2 linked regions of the Alligator mississippiensis genome follow. The main gene of each other region encodes a partner of the protein of the gene in region 2 in a complex. Links are inferred from orthologs where the notes say so. Each region holds a gene or a part of one and is shown on either strand. Other genes may lie near its edges.

What was found.
Region 1: the proteins of MYO6 (region 2) and GIPC1 are in contact, whole or in part, in a crystal structure (PDB 5V6E), measured with the Mus musculus proteins. The link is inferred for Alligator mississippiensis from reciprocal best matches to the Homo sapiens genes MYO6 and GIPC1. Residues at the interface, in NP_001034635.2 of Mus musculus: Ser1055, Lys1056, Trp1057, Lys1058, Tyr1059, Ala1060, Arg1084, Arg1085, Leu1086, Val1088, Tyr1089, Trp1092, Lys1093, Asn1096; in NP_061241.1 of Mus musculus: Glu273, Ser274, Tyr275, Met276, Gly277, Ile278, Arg279, Asp280, Glu282, Leu283, Thr286, Asp310, Phe311, Ala312, Pro314, Glu316.

What each region holds. Positions count from the first base shown.
Region 1 is NC_081831.1:24,771,996-24,779,377, reverse strand, and holds the start of GIPC1 (PDZ domain-containing protein GIPC1), read left to right. Parts: upstream 1-4,307; 5' UTR 4,308-4,394; intron 4,395-5,708; 5' UTR 5,709-5,753; coding exon 5,754-6,038; intron 6,039-6,458; coding exon 6,459-6,644; intron 6,645-7,314; coding exon 7,315-7,382. Other genes in the region: DNAJB1 (dnaJ homolog subfamily B member 1), read left to right, coding at 1,040-1,608, 1,719-1,949. UniProt on the Homo sapiens protein: May be involved in G protein-linked signaling.
Region 2 is NC_081824.1:65,992,107-66,000,085, forward strand, and holds the start of MYO6 (unconventional myosin-VI), read left to right. Parts: upstream 1-4,938; 5' UTR 4,939-5,034; intron 5,035-7,979. UniProt on the Homo sapiens protein: Myosins are actin-based motor molecules with ATPase activity. Unconventional myosins serve in intracellular movements. Myosin 6 is a reverse-direction motor protein that moves towards the minus-end of actin filaments.

The DNA.
Region 1 (7,382 bases), on a different chromosome or scaffold from region 2:
TCTTGCTACCTGTGCGGGCTTGGAAACTGGCCAGATGAATCCTTATCTCTTGCTGCTAGCTGCTAACTTTTAGCTTTGACACTGTAAAGAGTCCTTATTTCATGCTTTCTTGGGGCCTGTTCTAAAGCTGAAGGACAAGGACCTGGGGCACAGTGTGCTTGCCTGACTCCCCACCTTAAGGGTGGAAGTGTCAGGATTGGTCTAGATCAAGCCTTTAATTTAGCACTGAGGGCACACAGGCTTGTTCTACTGCTCCTTGCATGAGCCTTGCAGCTCCTGGCTCATACCTGTGACTGAGCTGTTGCTTGGAGACAGTGGGTGAGGAACCAGAACTGGCAGAACAGGAGAGAAAACATCCTGAAACAGCTTTGCAGTTTTTGTAAAGCTGGCCTGTGTTCTTGGTAGACATTGAGCTTGCCCTTGTGTGCCAAAGTGTTGGCAGGTCTGTGTGGATTGGCTGTGTTGGGAGAGGTGGAGCCTTGCAAGGGCGTGGCTTGGAGTTACAAGCAAACAAATATGCTAGAATCTTCTGTGTTAACTTGAACTCCCTGCAGCCCCTGCCTTAATCTCCCAAGGCAGGAAGAGCTTGCCTTGCTGTTTCCAAGCACCCTCAATTGCTATTGTGCCTCTGGGGCTGCTGTTAAGCATGTGTTTTCCTTCAGTTCAGGAATAGGAAGTCCATAGGCTCCTACGTTCCCTGCCTTGATATGGGGAGGGGGAATGTTAACCCAAATGATACAATCAAATTCACTGTATAAACTGATCTGTGTTTGAAAAGCTGGAAGCTCTGGATATCAGAACTCTTGGAGGTGACTCTAATTTCCCTTGTGATTAGAGAAAGTACTTGCCAGGTCAAGATGAGACTTCTCTTCTGTGAGGCACCTCAGAACTGAAGGATGAGACAAAATGACAATGGTGGTGGGAACAGAGGCCAAAAGCTTGGATGGTTCTGGAGCTGGGGATCTGGAATCCTGGGGTAAGCACATGAGTGAAAGTGGAGACTGATAAACTAACAGCAGGTTTATTGCCTGTTTTTCAGGGCTAAAAGGAGGTGGCTCCAACATGGGAGGTGGTGCTAATGGCCCATCATTCACCTACACGTTCCATGGAGACCCTCATGTTGTGTTTGCTGAGTTCTTTGGAGGCCGGAATCCCTTTGATACCTTCTTCATGCAGAGGAATGGGGATGAAGACATGGACATTGATGACCCTTTTGTCACCTTCCAAATGGGAAGTTTCAGCAATGCGGGTTTCCCCCGCACCCGAGGGGGCCACAACAGCCTTCGCCGGAAGCAGGACCCTCCCATCACGCATGACCTGAGGGTCTCCTTAGAGGAGGTCTACTCGGGCTGCACCAAGAAGATGAAGATTTCTCACAAACGTCTCAACCCGGATGGGAAGACGACACGCAACGAGGACAAGATCCTAACCATTGAGGTGAAACGGGGGTGGAAGGAAGGGACCAAGATCACATTCCCCAAGGAGGGTGACCAAACGCCCAACAACATTCCAGCCGACATTGTCTTTGTTCTAAAAGACAAGCCACACAGCATCTTCAAGAGGGATGGCTCGGACATCATCTTCCCAGCTAAGATCAGCCTCCGAGAGGTGAGTTAGGGGGTCTGGGTACAGGACTCGCTGGAGTTCTAGCTTTGGGTCTGGGGTGTACAGACCTTTTGTTGAATTTCATGGTCTCTCTGACTTGTCTCTCTCTGCAGGCCCTGTGTGGCTGCACGGTGAACGTCCCAACGCTGGATGGCAGGACCATTCCCATGTCATTCAAAGACATCATCAAGCCTGGAGCAAAGCGCAGGATCACTGGGGAAGGTCTCCCATACCCCAAGAACCCAGACCAACGCGGGGATCTTATCATAGAGTTTGATGTGCGGTTCCCAGACAGAATCCCCCAGACATCCAAGAAAGCTCTGGAGCAGATCCTTCCCATCTAGTTTGTGCAATCTGTGGACCTGAGACCAAGACTGGCTGAACACCAAAGCCTGTGGGACCATAGCCTTGGGCTCCAGGCTGGGGCTCTGGGAACTTGGTTTCAGTGCCTTGACCCAGAACATTGCTTGAATCACCTACACCAGTGAGCTGCTACATTTGGGAGGAGCCTACAGACACACTGCTGACAAATCATCTTGTAAGGATGTGACCAATGACTCAACCCACTGTCTGCATCCTGGGCAGCCCTAAATAGGACAGCTGCCTTGCACTTCATCTCTTGCTGAGTTGGAATCCCTTCACCATGTGGGGGGCATAAACTCCAAACTGGACAGTCCTTACTGTTGTAGTCCTTGCTTTGTGTCTTGTGTTCCTTGTTAATTCACTGGAGAACTTTTATCCTGGGTCACTTGGATGTTCTTGGCTATGAATTCCCACCTCAGAGTCCTGCCTGCCTATTTTGTTTGCTGGAAGGTGGATATACTCTCGCTGAACTTAATTGTGGGTCTGTGAAAATAACCCTGGTAAACACTAGGGCTTAAACAAATGTCTTGAAGATGAGATGAAATGAATAAGCCCTGGAGTTTAAACCAGTAGCTATCCAGGCCTAGAAAAATAATGCAAAGGGATTTCCTGGGTCTTAAATATAATCTGCTTTTTCAAATCTTTTTTCTGAAGAGACTTTCATAGATGCATCCCTCTACATTCTTGGGCTCAATTCCTGGTAGGGCAATGGGCTGAGCAGGTATTGCCTGGTTCTTGCATCTCTGCCAGCAGCAGAGTCTGACTCCTTTCCTTACTCACAGTTGCTGTCTTAAACCAGAGGATTTTGGCCAACCACTGAACTCTGGGGCATTTGAGGCCTTGGCCTCTGAGCTTGTTAACACCACCTTTGCTATCCTTTTTTAATTAAAGGGTTCCTGCTCCTGGTACAGGAGCATTACAGCACTTCTTGTACATACTTTGTATAAAAGTTGTGTAAATTTGACATGTAATTAAAATGCAGTGGAGAGGCTGGTTTATTTTATAGGATTGTATCTGAATTAAAGACTCATGGGAGGAGCTGGTGACCTTCCCTTTTTTTAAACATGCAGCACTGTTTTGAAGTATGGCTGGACTGACAATTTTCAGTTACTAATGTGATAAGACCAAACTGGGGTTACGATTAAAGTCTTGGTAGCCAAAGCCCTGTGTGGCCTTATTTGGGGGAGAGGTATCTGTCCTGATGTGGGAAGCAATATTGAGTTGCACTTGTTAGACACTGAGTGGCTCAAAGTGGCCTTTCCCACAGCTGCTGTTATTTTACTAAGGCAGGGTTTTAAATAGGCTAGATCCCCACTGGGAAGGGTGGGGACAGTGGGTGTAGGGCTAAGATTAGGTGAAGCAACTGCAATGTAGATTCCCTGCCCTGCGTGGAACAAAAGATATGCAGGTGCCAGCTTAAAAGAGCCAAGACCTACGCTCACCCAGATCTTTATTAAAGCCACTAGCAACTACTAGCCCTCATCCTGTGGGTGCAGCTTTTCCTGCTTGTTGGCCTGGCTTGCTGTACAGGGGTGTGTCCCACAGCCCCTTGCTGAATGAACAAGGGTGTGGTGAAAGCCCAGAGGCCCAGACGCATTCAGCCCCTGTTACTCCTTAGGAGAAGGATAGAGTAGGATTTCCTGTTGGCACAGGTAGCAATTACATGACACTCCCAGGCAGAAGCAAGATCCTGGGTTTTCCCAGCCGGTAGCTTCCCCTGGGTTGGGCCCTGGCCGGATCTACATGCTTTTCTCCGCAGCTGAGGGGATCTCGGAGCCTAGATCCCTGCCTTCTGGTCCCTGGCAGCTACAGCCAGACACCTGCATTCCGGGACAGGCCGTGCTGCTTGCGCTCGGCTATAAGACAATACGGGCCTCCTGCAGCCACCTCCCAGAAACTACGGGTCCGGGCGTGCCTCGAGCGAGCATTGTATGACGGGACTTGTAGTCCAGCGCTCGCGCCGATGTGGTTCAGTGCGTATGGTCCCGCCAAGACCTGCGAGACCCCCGGGATGCACCTGACTTGGCTGCCCACCCGACAGCACACCTGATTGGCTCGTTCTGGCCGGATCTGGTCTGCAATTGGCTGGGGGCGTATCCAACTCCTCTGAATGGTCTCTCCTACGCACTCAGCAAATGTTAACCCCTCCCCCCCAACCACTCCCCGCACTCCCCTCTCATGGTACCTCCCACCTTCCCCTTCCCTGGGTTTGGACGCTTCCAACTGCACCCAGGCGGGGGAAGCGGCTGAATCCGGAACGGCCCACCCAGCCCTGAACGGCAGGCCGCGCTGCGATTGGTCGGCGGCAACGCAAGGCCGCTCTGTGATTGGCGGAGGCGCTGAGGCTGGTCCCGCCCCCCCTCCCGGCGGCGCAGGCCCCAGCTGGAGTTGGGTGGAGGTGCGGGGTGGCTGGCGCGGGTGGACGCGTGAGTGTGGGGCTGCGATGGGGGGAGGGGGCAGGGGTCTTGAGCCGGGCGGAAGGCGGGGGCTGGTTCTGGGGTCTGTGCCGGGCGCGCCGGGGGGAGGGCACAGAGCGGGGCGTTAGGGCTGGGGGGAGCAGGGTTGCCATGTGCCCCTGGTCAGGGGTCCTGCCTTCTGCCACTGCCGGGCACCCAGGCCATGACCCCCCCCCCCATCGGGCAGGAGCACAAGGCAGGACTCCTGGGTCCGGTCCCAGGCTCAGCCATTGATTCCTCTCCCCCCGACCTGACATGTCCCTCTGTGCCTCAGTTTCCCCACATGGATGGGGGAGCCCCTAGCTGTTGGCTTCCCGTTTACTTACCCGTTTGGCTTCCCTGAGGCACCAAGGGAGCAGGGATGAAACCTGGGGGCAGTGGAGTGTAGGAAGTGCTACACCCCCACCCTACACCCCCCCCCCCCATGCCCTGGCTCCTGCCCACACTGCCCTGGTGTTGCTAGGCCCTGCTCAGTCACAATGGCGAGGTTGCCTTTAACTTGTTCCCAGGCAGGAACCCTGCCCTCCCTAGGCACATTAACAAGCCTGGTCCTCTACCTGGACCCAGGCCCACAGCAGGTAGCTGCTGGGGACCTACCAACCCCCTGGGTGTGGGGCTGAGCCAGGCCCCACGACCTCTGCCAGGCCCCCAGCACCTGCCAGCTTGGCCTGCAGCATGCAGCCACCTCTGGGGGGGACCAGGCCCAGAGCCTCTGGAGAGACCAGGGTGGAGGAAACATACCCAGCTCTGAGCATGCAACAGCTGAACTGCCACATAGAACAGGCTGGAAAGATGAGTACAATAGACCCAGGTGTTGCAGGGGGACTGAGGCCTTTTCTGGCTCTGGGATATGCAGTCCCAGGAGAAGGCACTGGAGGGTCCCTGGCAGCTGGCATGGGGGAAGTGGTAAAAGCTTTCCTCTGCCCCAGGAAAGGGGCAGGGGGTGGGTAGCCACATTTCCCGGGCATTGGAAGAACCCGCTGGGGCCCGTTCCTCAGCTCTGAGTCAGCCGGGCATGGCAGCTCCACCCGCATTCCAGTGCCTGGTGCCGGGACCCCCCTGCGCTGGCTTCTACCTACCCCTGAGGGGACAAGGAATCTGGGAGAGCATCCTGGGGGGGAGGAGCCATCTTTGGGGTCCAGGGAGCCTGGGAGGGGGTGCAAGGGTGGTCTGGAATCTGGGGTGGGGGACTGGTGTCCTGCGGGGGTGCAGTTTCAGTCTGGTGCGGCAGCTGGGCTGGGACCCAGGTGCCCTCCCTGCAGCCTCTGTCCCCCCCCCCAACAGGTGTCACCCGTGGGTGCTGGTGCTGGCCGTGGTCCCCCTGCCCTCATGCCGTTAGGCCTTGGGCGCCGGAAGAAGCCCCCCCCGCTGGTGGAGAATGAGGAGGCAGAGGTGGGGCGTGCGGGGCCAGGTGGGGGAGATGGGGCAGGGGGTCCAGGAGGGCTGGGAGCCCTGCATCCTGGCCTGCCTCCCCCGCCTGCTGGCCTGCGACCCCGCCTGGTCTTCCACACACAACTGGCACACGGCAGCCCCACAGGCCGCATTGAGGGCTTCACCAATGTGCGCGAGCTCTACGGCAAGATCGCTGAGGCCTTCCACATCCCCCCCACTGAGGTGCCTAGGGAGGAAGGGGCACAGGACCTGGAGCTACAGGGGGCTGAAGCTGTGGGGGAGGCTGGGGACAGGGGGTGTAGGTGGAGGGATAAGGGGCATGGGACAGGTCTAGTGGGTGGGGGGGGCAGACAGGGAGACAGGTCCTGGGGGGCAGCCGGTGTGGCTGTCTGAAGGGATGGGTTTAGGGCCTGGGGTAGGTGAGCAGGTGGGAGGCTTGGGGCAGAGGGTGAGGATGGGTGGAGGGATGATGATCCAGGGCCTGAGGGGCCCGGTAGGAGGCAGGGGTGGGCAGGGGGTTTGAACCTCAAGGGGGGAAAGGATGGGGGTCCTGGGCCTGGGATGCAAGAAGACAGGGTCTGGGGGGTGAGAGGCAGGGAATGGGGCCTCTTGGTGTTGCTCACCACCCCTCCCCACCCACAGGTGATGTTCTGCACCCTCAACACACACAAGGTGGACATGGAGAAGCTGTTGGGGGGGCAGATTGGCCTGGAGGATTTCATCTTTGCCCACACACGGGGGCAGCGCAAAGAAGTCGAGGTGCTCAAGGCTGAGGATGCTCTGGGGCTCACCATCACTGACAATGGGGCCGGCTATGCCTTCATCAAGGTGGGACCTGACCCACAGCATCTGGTGCCCATCACTCCTCACCCACAGCCCCCAGGGTCTGGGTGGGATCACAGCCCTGCTGTCTCAGCCCAAATCTCTGGCATCTGCTAATCCCCAGTTTGTGATGTTCTCCAGTTCCGGGGCTTCAGACTTTCGCCCTGCTGTTCCATGCTGCCATGTTCTGCCCCAAAGCTGGGCACATCTCGGCAGTGGGCAGAAGGCCCCATGTATGGCTGCAGGTCCGTGCCAGGGGCTTCAGCCCCTTCAAAGTGAGGCAGTGCAATCTGGGCAGAAGGAGTCAATGCAGGGGACATGTTCGATCCAGCTGGGGACACAGGGGTCCTTGTGCTTCAGGGCATGGCAGGGTCAGGAAAGACCTAGGCTTCGTTCCTGATCACTAGCTCCCTGCTGGTGCCCCTCACTCCTGACTCACAGTCCACTGCTCCCCCAACCCAGCCAGTGCCCCTCACTTCCAGTCCCGGACCACTGCCCTCCCCCTGCCAGCTTGCCATTGTCCCTTACTCCCAACCTACAGCCCTCTGTGGTCCCTGCCTGGGCAGGGTTAGGAGTGAGGGGCCAAGGCCAGCTGGCTGTGCCAGGAAGGCACTGGGGAGGGGGGGTGCTCAGGCTGTCCCAGCCATGAGTCCCAGTGCAACCCCTGCCCCCACAGCGCATCAAGGAGGGCAGCGTGATTGACCGCATCCCCCTCATCGGTGTGGGTGACATGATTGAAGCCAT
Region 2 (7,979 bases):
TTTTTAAGTGGACTCAAAATGCCAGAGGCACATCTCGTGGAGTTCCTTATGGAACTTTCCCTGCAAGCCTCTGAGGACACTAGAAGGATAGATTGCTAGATCCTCTTCCCTTGAGTGCCTTGTTGAGCTGAGATTTCCCGCTCATGTTACCATGCTGTTTTGACCAATAAACTTCAGTCCTGCTTCTCTATTCCAATGTCAGTGACCTCAGGGAAGGAGGTCACTGCTTCTGAGATGCTAAGGTCTAGGGCACCTTCTTCAATACTTACTAAATTGCAAGGTGTTAGGTGCCTGACTCAGCAAACCAACAAAAAAACAAACAAACGGTCAAAGATCCCTCTGGCACCTCAGTCCCAACTGTTAAATGTATGGTGGTGGTATCCACAAACCTGTGGACTGGCTTTCCCCTAACAGCAATACCTTAGCATTCACTGCCTTAGTATCTGGCACATCAATACAATGGCATGGGTCCCTGTTTCTTACAGCATGTAAAATACAGAGTAATTAAACTCTATGCCCAATGACAGCACCCCCTGACACCCTTGCTAAATAGGTGGAAAGTGCAGCTAGTTGAACTCTTGGTCAATGAGACTTTGTCACAGCAGGAAAAAATGCATGAGCAAAATCAGTTTAATCTCTTATTGAACTAGAGGAGACACTGATAAAACAGGGATTCAGGTGAGAACACAGAGCCCCCTTCCAGCTGGTGCAACAGTCATTGCCTTGAGTTACACACCCTCTGGCTTGTTCTCTTCTGGCCCACACTATCTTCCTTTCTTGGCTGCTCAGGGGGCGAACTTCAAAAGGACCACTGGGGATGCAACCGGATAACACCTAACCTGAGGTGGTTAGGGCACTGCTGAGAAATCAGAGATGAAAGTTCAAACCCTCTCTGGGTGATGGGGACCCATCACCCAGGTCTCCTGCTTCCTGGGTGAGCACCCTAGGCACTCTGCTATTCCATTTATAATTATGGGCTCTGGACAGTTACATTTTTGTGGCTTACGTGTCCAGAAAAGGTTTGCATACACAGGTGCATACCTGCCAGCCAATATGTAACCTACAGCATATGTTCAGTCTAATAAAAGTGAGTACCTATGAGTGGAAACAGATTTTGCTTTTTGTTACACTTGTATCTCCATAAAAATGTTGATGTCTGCCCAAAGGCCAAGCAAACAGACATTAAACCCTTTGCTGTGCCACAAATGCCCAAAATTTATGGCTGCAGCAAGGCGGTATTAATGTATGCCTCTTTATTGCTGGAGTCTGATTTGTGGCAGGAGACTGCCTGCACATCCTAAATGACCTGGGCGAGCGCTCTGTGAGTTTGAGGGACCAGCTCCTGTGCCCCCCAAGAATTCCTGCATGGGATCAGGTCCCTCAAGCCCTGGGAATGCCTGCCTGGCTTTCCTCTCTTACAGGGACCTGGCCCCAGGATCTCTGGGGTACACCTCCCTAGCCAGGGAAAGTTGGGTTTCCTTTACAGAGATGTGCCCCTGGGAAATATTGGGGCCATGTCTCTGTAGGCGGGGAAGCATCCTGTAGGCGGGAAAGCAGACATACGCGGGGCCTCAGGGGCCCAATTCTGCATGGGAATTCCTGAAGTATGTAGGACCAGGCTCCTCAAGTCCTGGGAGAACACGTCACCCATTGTCCCACAGCATCAACAAGTGGGACAATGGGTGATGTATGTCTCACCCAATGAAGTGGATCAGTAGTGCCAGGACACATGCCAGCACAACTCATCCACTTCATTTGGCGACTTCATATTTCTAGCCTCAGCACCCACAGTGCAAGGTAAGAAAATAACAACCTGTACCTAAGTGCTAAAAAGGCTACTTCTATGGCTAGAAAACTGCCAGTCAGGCACACAAAATGTAGTAGAATTTCATCCTTGGTGTCCACTGGCCCACAATCACCCGAGATGGCATCATGCTAGGTAATCACCCAAAGAGAAAAAGATTTGACAAGATGTGTTGTGCACATGGATTCCACGTCTCACCCATGTTCCTCACTACTACCTAGTCCTAATCCTTTGAAATTCTGTTGGAAAAAGACATGAAGGACAGTTGGGTCCACTCTATGCTTAAACCCTCCAGTACAGGGACTAGGTCAAAGATAATCTGTTGTGCAGACGCAGCCTTGATGGACGCTGTTGGGCAGAGGAATCCAGTCCCATGCACATGGAGTGGACAATAGCAATAAACCAACACTATAATACAACACACACATTCAGATGAACAGTGATAAGATCTCACAAAATCTATAGTTGTCCTCCCTCATGGTTCTCCTGGCTTTGGTACTGTGCTCTTAGGATCCTTGAAGGATTTTGATGTGCTTTATTTTCCAAGAAGCTGGGACAGCACTGATGTACTTCTTGCTCCACATGATAGATTATTTTTAGCAAACAGTAAATTCTGGAGACTTTTTTGAAAGAGTTATGTCTACATTTTCCATCTGTACCAAATGTACTTTTTTGGATTTCTTCTTTTGCATGGAAAACAGAATGTGCTTTACTTAATAGGAAGAATATAGTCATGGTATGGTACAGTCATTGGGACTGCTACAATGCATATATTATTCCTGCTTAGATGGCCATTAAGTTCAGTCTCGCTGATGAAAATTTATTTCCTAAAATGACTGTAAAGTAAAAATAGACCTGACCTAAAATCCCAAATTGGCCATCCTGCCCTTATCCATAGTTTTGGAAAAGCTTAACATGATTCAGACTCTCTAGCTTTGGTTCATCTCTTTTATAGATGAAGTTTGAGATGTCTCTTGCTGTTGGTTCCTTGTGTACAGAAAAGGTAAAAGTGAAATACATTTCATCATTTTTAGTTGGTCTAATAAAAGATACTGGATTTACCCAAAGAATGTTGTCTACCATACATTTCATCATGTATTTTATTCCAAGTCACAGAAAAATACCAAGAATAATTCTTACATCCACGTTTTAACTTTGGTGTTCATTTTCCTCTAAATTGCTTTCTTATGAGAAGTTGGCGGACACAGCTGGAGAACAAACTGTATCCTGGATTTTTTTTAGAGCTCCCCAAGAGAAAAGTATAAGACAGATATATTCTTTTTAACCAGGAAGTGGAACCTGAGGTCTTGAAGAAATTCTCTGCAGTGTTACAGCAAACATTTGGATGCACAACATCTTTTCACAAGTGTAATCTATCACAATGTTTATCTGTTTAAAAGGTAACAGCCCTTGATTTAGTCATCTCTTGTAAAGTTCACAAAGAGGAAGTGAAGTATTTCCATTCCAAGCTGCAGTCATTGCCCACAACAATTTTAAGAAATGTGTTTACCTCCAAGTTAAATAAAATTGTCCCTGAAAATGACAAATACATTGAATATCCATAAGGACACAAAGACCAAGGACCAAAGACAAAGGAATATTTATGAGTTATTTTAAAATAATTTGTTCCAAGGTTAATATAAATTTAGGTAATACAAATGATATGGTCAGGTGAAGCTCAGCAGGTCTCTCAGGAGTTTCTCTAAATACTTCCTTCTAAAAATGGTGATAACTGCTAACTTTTTTTTCCTGCTTTAGGATGATGCACCCCAAAGTTCAGCCACTCTAAATTTCAGAGTCTTTATTTGTATAGGGAAAAAAAATCCCTCAGGAAGAACCGAGTAATTTGTATACATTAAATATGTTTGGTTGACCATTTCCTGCCAGGATGTAGCCTATTTCCATGAGGCTTTTTAACTAGTCAGCACATGCTAAATATAACACAGTTTGCCATTCACATTCCCCCCTCCCCAACATAAAAATAATCCTTATCTGGGTGTATGTTCTGCAAACAGAAATCAGGATTAACTACTGTCCTGAAAGGCAATATTTGAAATGGCCGGTATCACACTCCCCTGGTCTAGGAACTCAGAACTGTCACTGGAAAAAACCTGGAATTAGTTTTAAACACCATATGAAGGCATCCGGGAGCATCCAATGAAGGGCAATAGTGGCAAAATGTGGGTTTGAAGAGACCTGGGTGCTTTCTGCCCAAAACTGAACACGTGCCCCCTTGAGTTTGCATGCACATCTGAGCCCCTGGGATGTGACATGCTCTGAACTTGACATGCACCTGCAAACACACCTGAACTTGACACAGCCACCCTCCCCCCCCGAATCTGGTGCACACACACCTACATGTGATGTGTGTGCACCACCCCCCCCCCCCCACCTTGGACACCTCTCCTGAACTTGGCACACACGCCTGCACTCCTGAATCTCACACACCTGAACCTCTCTCTTTCTCTCTCTCTCTCAGGGGTGCAGGTTGTAGCCCTGTTGGTCTAAGGACAGAGTCAAGCAAGGTTCTTTGGGTGAATCTGATATCATTTATTAGACCAACTTAAATAGCTGGAAATTTTTTTTTAGCAAGCTTTCTGGTTTAAAAACCCTTGGTCAGGCTGGGGAAACCTCTGCAGTCAGTGTTGCTTTTCCTGGGTGGATGCAATTCTTTACTATTCATCCCAGCCACCAACTGCAGAGCCTTCCCCAGCCTGACCAAGGGTTTTTTAAACCGGAAAGCTTGCTACAATTGTTTTTTTTTCCAGCTATTTAAGTTGGCCGAATAAAAGATATCAGACTCACCCAAAGCACCTTGTCTCCCTCTTACACCCCCCAACCTGTCTCACAGCCCCCACTCCTGAACCTGTTACACACACGTACGTGTTGGTGTAATAAAAGATACCAGATTCACCCAGAGATCCTTGTCTGCACACACGCACCTCGTGAACTGCACACCTGTGGACCTGTCGCGCACGCATACGCGCTCCCCCTCCCCCCGCCTGTCACGCCCAGCCCTAACCGCGGGAACCCGCCCGCTCGCCCCCGCCTCGGGCCGGCCGCTGGTGCCGGCCGCCCCTCTCCTGCCGGCGGCGCTTCCGGGGCGGGGCCGGGCCGCAGCACCGCCCCCCGCCCCGCCCCGCCCCGCCCCGCTCGCAGCCGGCGCTGACGTGCGCCTGGCCCGTGGAGCAGCAGCGCCCGCCGGACACGGAGCTCAGCAGCGCCCGGCGGTAACTGCGCCCGCGCCCCTTCCTCTCTTCTCCTCTCCCCTCCCCTCCCCGTCCACCCCCTGGGCCGCGGCGCAGCGCAGCGCAGCGCAGCGCGGGCTGCCGCGGGGCCGGGGCGGCAGGGCAGCGGCTGTGACAGCCCCGCGGGTTTGGCTGGGCCAGAAGCGGCGCCGCCTCCGCTCCTTTCCCCGGGGGCCGGCGGGGGCAGCCCGGGGAAGTGCCGCCTGGCCCGAGCCCCGCTCTGCCCCTTGGGGGCTCCCGCGCCCGGCCACGGCAGGGGCGCTTGCACCGAGTCGGGCGCTGCTGCCCTCGCCCCGCCGGGGGGGGGCCTCGTGCCCTGCCCTACCCTGCCCTGCCCCGCGGCCCGCCCGCCCTCCTCCCCGTGCCCGCGGGGCCGAGCGGCAGGCGCGGGGCTCAGGGGTGCAGGGCCTCCCTGGGGACCCCCGGAAGCCGCCCTCCGGTGACTGTTCACCACCTCCTCCTCTGCTAGATAAGTGGGACGATGATAATTAATTTCATAACACGTATTTAATTAATAATACTAGTAGTAATTATCATCATCAGAACTTCCTTACTGCTCGAGGCGGGTATCCTGCCTGCCTTGACAGCAGGGTTGTTGGTTGTAGTCTCCTGGGTCTTAAGGGCAGAGGCAGGCATGGTTGCTTGGGTAGATGTGATCTCTTTTATTAGACCAACTCCAAAGCTGGAAAAACGGTTCTTTGCAAGCCTGAAAGTTGGCAAAGCTTGTAAAGAACCTTTTTCCGACTTTGGAGTTGGTCTGTCTAATAAAAGAGACCGCATCTATCTGGGGACCCTTGCCTGCCTTGACAGCAGCCTTCTGTGGCGTTCGGGTGATGGCTTGTGTGGGATGCTCTGGGCAGGGCTGCCTGCCTCAGGCAGGGGTGAGATGATCAGCCTGAGTTTCTCAACCTGTGGGTCACGACCCAAAAATGGGTCACAAGAATAATGGATCAACATACTTTCAAAAAGGATTCTTCTTTCAAGGAGAAAATCGGGGGAAACTGGCTTTTCCCTTGCAGGTTGGCAGAGTTTCACCCTGCAAGGGGCTGCTTGGGGCACCCCTTACCCCCACATCCCCCTCCCCCACACACTGGGGGAGCTGGGACCTGGGGGCAGGGGAGCACTGGGTTGGGAGTGAGGGGCACTGGGTTGGGACTGGATATCGGTGTTAACAAATGGATCCTGGTACAAAAAAGGTTGCGAACCATTGGACTAGATGACCTCTGGAGGTCCCTTCCAGCCCTGCTTCTCTCTGACTCTTTGTCATCTAAAAGACGACAACTTCTCCATGATGCTGCTGGAGCGTCTGTGTGTGCGTTAATTCGCTTTTCCTAATGCGCATTAAATTTAGTACCGTACCTCCAATGTGAGGTACTAAATAAATGCGTGTTAGGCTAACCAGAGGCACTGTATCGAAAGCAGACATTTTTAAAGTGATATTTAATGCAGTTGTCTATTTTACTGCGCATTAGTGTTATTGCACTTTTTTGTACATGGCACTTTAATGTGCAATAAAATAAACTACTGCACATTAAAGCGTGCGTGTAGACTCACCCAGTGTCATCTAAGATGACAATTCCTTGCTACGGTGCTTTGGGAGAACCTTCCCCTCGCACAGATAACATCAGCCTATGTTAATGCTAAAGTTGCACGAGTTTTCAGTGGTTTGTTGTCTCCCCTTCAGGAGCTGAAGATGCTACTGTGGGGGTTGGGGAGTATAATTTTTTTTTTTTTTAATCCCATTGAAAACTTAATTTCTAAGCACTTCATTTTTAAATAATTGTCAAGCAGGGAAAGGTTTTGTGTGAAGGTTCTTTGCCTTATGCTTACTCAGTCATTGCCTGAAGTTCAGTGCCCAGCATGTCTTGGGTATCATTAATGTTTACATGCTATATGACAGATGCATTCCTAAGCAGTAAGTCCTATAATACCAGAAACCTGTAAAACTTTGTTGTGGCTAAATTAATGGACAGCACAGATTAAATGAAAGGGTGTTTTCTACCTCTCGCGTAGTTTACGTGCTGTTGCTGGTATGCAGCAGCCCTTTTGTTTCTGACCATGGAGCGTATGTGTATGTCATAATTTTAAAATTGGTGCCTTGGGTAGGTCAGGAAGGAAAATAACTTTCTGTGATGTGATCTAATTTCTCTTTGTTTAGCTGAAGTTATTAGGCTGTAAAATGGTCTATGAACTCAGTCTGCAGCAATCAGAGTACAAAGGTTGACAATAGAGCCTAGTTTTCCTTTGTTGCAAATGTCACAAATTAACAGGATGTAAAGAGGTTAAATTCTCGGGTCAAATTCAGCATACAGTTATTTTTCAAGAAAAAAAAAAGGGAAAACGTGTTGCTTTTCTTCTTTAAGCTGTGTGTTTAAAGCTTCTGGAATATTTTCAAAACAAAGTCTTCCTGTGGTATTTGATGAGCATTGCGACACATCTTTACATTGTTTGCCTAAGATGTGAGAATGGAGTGATTGTAGACAAAAGTGAAACTAGTTGACTTATTTGACTTCATTGTATAGACTGGCATAAATGCAAAATAAAAATATTGAAAAGTAAACATTTACTAATCCTTGAAAGTATTTTTACCATGGTAAAAATATAAATTTTAACTTGACCGTATCTTTCAGTACACTTTTTTAAAAAAAAACAGAAATAGGTTAACTAATTACATTTTATAGAACTATAATAGCAGCTTTGTGAAACATAAAAATCTTGAGAATGACTGACTACACTAAGAATAAAGACAATACTATATAATTTGATAGTCTCTGGTTATAATTTTAACTTGTACATCCAGTTTATATTAAATAATTGTATCTAGTATCTTTTTATCTTAAGTTTTTAACAAGGCTTTTGATACTATCCCATTTGACATTCTTACAGGCAGGCTAAGGAATTATGCCTAGATGAGGTGGGTATACACT